2 linked regions of the Xenopus tropicalis genome follow. The protein of the gene in region 1 purifies or fractionates together with the protein of each later gene. This does not show direct contact. Links are inferred from orthologs where the notes say so. Each region holds a gene or a part of one and is shown on either strand. Other genes may lie near its edges.

What was found. Proteins that work in one complex are often made in the same cells at the same time.
Region 2: the proteins of prkcq (region 1) and chuk purify together in Homo sapiens (affinity purification with western blotting, with the first as the bait; 3 studies listed by BioGRID). This does not show direct contact. The link is inferred for Xenopus tropicalis from reciprocal best matches to the Homo sapiens genes PRKCQ and CHUK.

What each region holds. Positions count from the first base shown.
Region 1 is NC_030679.2:84,173,455-84,177,212, forward strand, and holds the start of prkcq (protein kinase C theta type), read left to right. Parts: upstream 1-976; 5' UTR 977-1,057; intron 1,058-3,758. UniProt on the Homo sapiens protein: Calcium-independent, phospholipid- and diacylglycerol (DAG)-dependent serine/threonine-protein kinase that mediates non-redundant functions in T-cell receptor (TCR) signaling, including T-cells activation, proliferation, differentiation and survival, by mediating activation of multiple transcription factors such as NF-kappa-B, JUN, NFATC1 and NFATC2.
Region 2 is NC_030683.2:110,586,102-110,589,759, reverse strand, and holds part of chuk (inhibitor of nuclear factor kappa-B kinase subunit alpha), read left to right. Parts: intron 1-930; 5' UTR 931-980; coding exon 981-1,085; intron 1,086-2,109; coding exon 2,110-2,204; intron 2,205-3,658.

The DNA.
Region 1 (3,758 bases):
ACAGTAGAGTAAAAAGCCAAACTTGTTAGTACTGTGAATTTAATTTCTGTGCTTAACCCTCTTTTTCCACTAAAACTGACTGCCCTAAGCTGACCAACAAACAAGGCTGACCCCCACAGACATGTGCATGGATTTTTCAGTCAAACTATAGAAAAATTGTATGAAATTTAGAGAAGATTTGATCCTAAATTTAATTTCTGTTAAGCACAGAAATTAAATTCACAGTACTAACACGTTTGGCTTTTTACTCTACTGTGCATGAGCAAGCAGTGAAGACAGAAAAAGGAAGAGGATCACTTGCTCTCTGGTACCCTGGGTCGATGCAGGTTTTCGCTAACAAGAGCACCAACTTGGGGTTTCAGGTAAGTGATTACAATCACTGGGGGGTGCCTAAAATGTTGGCATCTCCCACTGATTGTACCTTTCATTCTTCTTTAAAAGCAAGCATCTGGTCGGTTGCTATGACTACTAGACCTACCATAGATCAACTGATCTGATAGCTTCAAATTACATAGCCACTCCTAAACCAACCCCCAAAAAATCAGTGATTACTTAAAAACTTAAAAGTTTACTAGTAATTTTAACAGTAACGGAGACAGTATTGAGATTTTATATTCTGCACCAACATAGGAAGGCAGCATTATATACAGCTAAAAGTATAAAGTTACTCCATGCCTGGTGATTGAAAAACCTTATTTTTAAGAAATTACAAAAAAGACAAAAACAGTTGCGACCCAAAATAACTGTACATTGTCTGAATTACATTGATAATGATCAATTGTTTTTAGAGCAAAACATCAGGTAAAAGTAAAGTGCAGAATGTTCTATGCGTTTTTGGTTGCAAGTTTCATTTCAGACCAGTGTATGGTTTATTTCACATGCATGGGCAGAGCAATGAGCTGTACAGAGCACTGCGTGAAGTAGTTAAAGTGTGCAGGGGCGTGCTTAGGCAGTGGCTGTGGTATGGAGGAGACGGAAGCTTGAGAGCACTGGCATTGTACCGAGATGACAGGGTTCTGATACACATGTCACTGGCTACTGCTGCTTCAGAGTCAAGGTACTTTTCATTTCATCTCACTTCTTTCAACTCTTCCAGATAGGAACAAAAGTACCATTTAAAATCATCTAATTATCAACTTGTTTTACATGTTGTTGATATCTACTGGAGGCTAGAGTCAGACTCCCTTTTTTCTGATAGTGTTACTATGCAAGTACTTGTGCTTTTTCTGCTGTTATCTACATTTTAATAGGCTCAGCACTCACCCATATACAGATTGCTAGTGTTTTCAACATATGTGCAGTGAAAAAAATGATAAATGCAGGCTTTATTGCACATTGAGTGCTCTCCTAGCCAGCTCTGAGGGTATAACATACAAAAGTTGTATCAAGTTTTAAAACCATTCTGTAGTGTTGCTTGTGGATAGTTTCCCAACATAATGTGTATGTGTATATTGTCATCAGACAATGACCCACTGATAAGGTACCAGTTTTTGTCTGCACAGTTTATCTACATGTGTATTTTAAAGGAAGGGCAAGCTAATGAGTATATTGCACCTCTACACTGTTTCATGGTTTCTTTTAGTTATTGTCCCTCTACACTGTTTCATGTTTTGTTTTAGTTTTTGTCCCTAAAGCCAATGTCAATGAATTCTTATGTATGGTGATGACTTTAAGAAAAAAATTAAACACATCAGAAAGCAAGGAAGACATTATATTTTTAATACTATGGCTTATATTAGGCATTTGTGTTGCATGAAGCTAATTGGTGTTTGCTGTGCTTTATTTCTTAATATGGTGCTTTATTTCTTACATATGGTGTGCAATGTATTTATTGTTTTGAACTGGCAGGTATTGTGCAGTTATGTGGGAATTGTCTAGGATTAGTAGGTCTGAAAATTTTTGACTGAAAAAAGTACTGTACACACAACTGTCCATACATTTAGATGTTGGCTGCCTCTCCAAAATTATATGATAACTGATTAACCTTTTGGGAATTACGTTACATGATTATGTTGATTTACTACAGTGGACATTTTTTGAATACCCAGAATTAAGTCCAAAGAGATGTGCCTTTTTCTGTATGCCTTATTACCTGTATTTGGGTACCCCTGGTACATCCCAAAGCTTGCACATCATTCAGAACTAGGAGTGTCAGGGGAACCAAGACATTAGGGTGACTTCTCCTTACCACAGGCTTATGGCAGGTTTTACACACAGGACTCTCTTGCAGGGCCGGAACTAGGGGTAGGCAGAAGAGGCAGCTGCCTAGGGCGCAACGATTGAGGGGCGCCAGGCAGGAGCTACTTTGTGCTACTTTGTCATTGCCTCCACCGCTTGTCATTAGCGGCGGAGGCAATGACCGATCTAATCGCAGGGAGGTGGGCGGAGTTGGCCGACCGGGTTGCCTAGGGCGCCCGGTCGGCTTGGCACGCCTCTGCTCTCTTGCACCTGTCAGCACTTTGTTCTCCAAGCTGCATAGGGCTAGGGGCTAGCACTTTGTATATAGAGCTCTGAGAGTGACAAATGAATGGCCCTTACTGCTTTTAAACTTGCACCTGGCTCTTAATAAATAAGCCCTCACTGTCTCTATTGGTAATTCACTCTAGATGAATACCATTTGAACAAATCAAGGCAAAATATTACGCAGAAAACAATGTTGCACAGAATTACTTTCCTACCAGTAATTAGAAAAATTTGTAAAACTTTTATTTGCACCTTGCTGTTTGTATTGATGGGACTTGATTAAAATAATGAAAAAATAGCCCCATACACAGATGCAGAACTGTTAATAACACCAATTAGATGAAGGAATTGATACATCTTAATGAAAACAATGGGAAACCAGGCCTCAAATCAAACGTAAATAGTTCCCTGTTTCAATAGCGTATAATCATCTTTGTAAGCCTGATCCAGCTTCCTACCATTTAAAGGGACAGTATACACCTAAAAATGCCTTTGCTAAAAATGAGCACATTAAAGGGGACCTTTTTGCCTATTGTTTAAATTTTAAAATATCAATATTTTTGCCATTATAAAGCACTAATTTGAAAGTTGGGCTATTTTCACTGAACTCCCCTCCCCATCTTTTATAAACAGGGCAATTTGTTCAAAGCTCTCAATCTATAAATCCCATACCTTCTCTAAGCAGCAGCCTTTGAGCAGCTAATTATTTTAGTTTTATCAGCTCCTGAAGTTCTTTGGGACCAGAAGTGGCAGGCGTGAAACTGGCTTCATATTCTTGTTTTGTGCCAGAAATAACAAAAACCATAGATATTTCTTAATTAAAACAATAGACAAAATGTTTATTCTATTAATTTGGCTAATGTTAAAAAGGGGTATGACTTTTTAAGTATATCTCCAAAAATCACCTTTTTAGAAAATCTTATCCAACCTCCAATGGAAAAAATCTTTAAATCCACCCAAACATCTGCTGATAAACTTGAATGGGGGGGGCAATTTCTAGCATTTCATCACCTCCATCACCTCCTCATGGAGCTACAAATTGCCATGGTGAGAAATCACTTATAATTGCCCCATGTGCCATTGTCCTTTTCAACAATTACAGCCTTCCAAATACCTACTGCTGACCATTGTTGTGGATAACTGATATCAGTCTGCATATTCAGGCCTTTCCCTCTGTAGCAATAAATGCCAGTTTCCATTACTACTGCAGCTGTGCACACCTGTATATAAAACTGGTTTTTCAAAAAAAAAAGTTACACTTAAGCTTTTTACATTATTTACTGTATGGGACAAGG
Region 2 (3,658 bases), on another chromosome or scaffold:
TAAATCAGTGGCCCAAAGTCATTTAACTCTTTAAATCATTAGACACTAATGCCACTTTGGGGCCACTTTTCCTGCCCAGAACTATTTTGGGCCAGGCTGGAACAAGCTGTACATTATGTACGGAACCCTGTCTATGAATGTATACTTTTAAAACTGTCGCCCAAGGTCATTTCTTTTAAACACTAGTTACTTATTCACTGACTGAATTAGAAACCAACTTCAAGGCACAAATAAGAAACTGGCAGAATAAGAAACCAAATTCAACGCTGTCCAGTCTCGGACTGGCCCACCTGGATACCAGGAAAACTCCCAGTGGGCCCAGGCTTTCAATGGGCCCTCCTGCTCACTCAACCATTTGCCTTGTATGCCTATACCATGGCCATTACTCAATTCTATATGAGAAGAAACAAAAGAAATAGAGGAAAGGATAGATAATACTATGTAAAAAGATGTATTTAAGAAATTAAAGAAAGTGAGTAAACAGTGAAGGAAAAGGGGTCTGGAGAGTGGGCCTTAGGTCTAAAGGTTTTCAGATAGGCCCTTGGCACCCCAGTCCAACACTGACTGTCCCTTACTTATAGATCAGGCTGGAGTTATTTCCTATTACCACTAAAATCTCTATTGTTTTCTGTAAATTGGTTACATTGCAACTTCTGCATACATATCCTTATGCAATAACCTAGGAATGAGACACAAACAAAACTATTTTATTACAACTTCAGTTAATGTAAGGAGGCCATAGATGCTACAATTACAATCTTTCCCACTACTGTTGGTCTTTTTCTCCAATTGGGAAGTGCAATATCCTGTCTCTTAAAGAGTAGGCCCCCTTATGTAGGGAAATGTTAACCACTTGGATGAATGTACTGTAAATCTGGAGTATGGAACTTGGGTGGTTGCAGACTTTTTTTAATTCTGTTGTTGTGACAGGTGACCAGAAGCATCTGCAAAACTGAAGAGAAAGGAAGAACGCTGTGGTTATGGAGAAGCCCCCAGTCCAACATGGAGCTGTTTGTGGGCCATGGGACATGAAAGACCGCCTAGGAACAGGAGGTTTTGGAAATGTTTGCTTGTACCAGAATCGGGTGCGTAAGAAGGAAGCTTGATAAATGCATGGGGGCAAGCATTAAATATAATTTTTCTATACAGGTATTAAAAATCCGTTATCCTGAAACCTGTTATCCAGGAAGCTCTGAATTACAGAAAGGCCATCTCCCATAGATTCTATTATAATAAAATAATGAAAATTTTTAAAAATGATTTCCCTTATCTCTGTAATTATAAAACAGTACATTGTATTTGATCCCAACTAATATAGAATTAAAATTATTATTAGTAGATGTAAAGCAATACTGTCATAGGAAAACATTTTTTTTCAAAACACATCAGTTAATAGAGCTTCTCCAGCAGAATCCTGCATTGTAATCTTTTTTCAAAAACACAAACAGATTTTTTAATATTTAATTTTCACATGGGGCTAGCCATATTCTTCATTTCCCGGGGTGCCATAGCCATGTGACCTGTGCTCTGATAAACTCCCCCCCCCCCTTCCCCACCAGCAGCCAATTGGCTACCTGTCACCTAGATATCAATAGTAAGAAATCCAAGTCCGGCTTGGGACTTCTCCTGTTACATGGGAGTAGGAGAGACAATAGGTTACCTGAAATGTGTAGCGCTGGCTCCTTCTGAAAGCTCAAACTCAGGCCTACACACCAATATTACAATTAAGAAAAAATAACATTTGTTGGGTCAAAAATAAAAATTTTTATTATTTGCTACGTAAACAGTGTAATTTAGAAGTAAGTACAATAAGTACAGAAAATCATGACAGAATATCACAACTAAAATTTACATTTATTATTTAAGAATAAAATTTTAAATGGTAGAATGAATGATTGAAGATGAAGGAAAACTGCACAAGTGCTTAGAATAGCACTCTCATCAATTTTACATTCACTTACTTTAAACGATTACCTATCCTTTAAGATTAAGCTGTAGTGCATACAAGTATTTAGACAGAGGATCTGGGGCAAAAAAAATGCAATAATAAATACAATTTGTGGAAATAAATGTGAGAAAATGCACTTATTGTTTTTCCTACCTCTGCAGGAAACAGGAGAGCTGAAAGCCATCAAATCCTGTAGGTTGGAACTGAGTATGAAAAACAAAGAGAGATGGTGTCAAGAAATTCAGATTATGAAGAGGTTTGTTTTTAAGCACATTTTCTTCCATGTTTATATTTTACTGACGTAATTCAAGGGATATTGGGCCTGATTCACTAAAGTCCGAAATAAGGAGTGCTATTTATAGCATGCGTTAAAAATCTTATCACTTTTTCGCTCGATTCACTAAAAGGACACTTGTCATAATTAAGAAGCGATGTTCTTGGCGTTATTTATCTTACGATGACATATTTTAATGAAAAAAACTATGCGATAAGCGTTATAGGGGCCGATTCACTAAAGGTCAATAACGCTTATCGCATAGTTTTTTTTATTAAAAAGCATGCGATAATTAAGTACCGATTCATCAAAGTCATTTCGCATGTGTTAATCCGCATATCGCATGCACAAAAAAAACGCATTGCGTTAATTAGCGAATAGAAATAGTACTAACGCATGATTCACAAACACATATAGGGCCCGATTCACTAAAGTCCGAAATAAGGAGTGCTATTTATAGCATGTGTTAAAAATCTTATCACTTCTTATTTTTCACTCGATTCACTAAAAGGACACTTGTCATAATTAAGAAGCGATGTTCTTGGCGTTATTTATCTTACGATGACATATTTTCAAGAAATATATTACGCAGTGCACAAGATATTACGCAGCGCGCGATATTTTACGCAGAGCGCAATATATTACGCACGTAACCATTACTTTCTGAAAACCACCAATTCCCTGAAAACTGGAGGCTGCATCACTCTAGGGCCAACATATACTTGAAAAAATACGACTGCAAACTCCATGTTGTGTTGCCAATAGCTCACGAACCGCAATTTTCTTTAAGTACCGCCTGCCCCAAGTAGGGTTAATATTCACACAGATTAACACAATATTTTGCACGTTTAACGCTTCATATGTGTTTGTGAATCATGCGTTAGTACTATTTCTATTCGCTAATTAACGCAATGCGGTTTTTTTGTGCATGCGATATGCGGATTAACACATGCGAAATGACTTTGATGAATCGGTACTTAATTATCGCATGCTTTTTAATGAAAAAACTATGCGATAAGCGTTATTGACCTTTAGTGAATCGGCCCCTATAACGCTTATCGCATAGTTTTTTTCATTAAAATATGTCATCATAAGATAAATAACGCCAAGAACATCACTTCTTAATTATCACAAGTGTCCTTTTAGTGAATCGAGCGAAAAATAAGAAGTGATAAGATTTTTAACGCATGCTATAAATAGCACTCCTTATTTCGGACTTTAGTGAATCGGGCCCATTATGTTTGTTTATGTCCTACAGTAGTAATTTAGTAAATTTAAGGCCCCCTGTATACCCCATTAATTTCCCCACTGAGACTGAGAGCAGAAGTACAATGTGGGAGCTTGACACAGTTTGATTTTAGAAGGTGCTCTCTCAATGCAGCGTAATAACAATTATTCAGAATTGTTTGTGAATTTATATTATCGTCACATATATA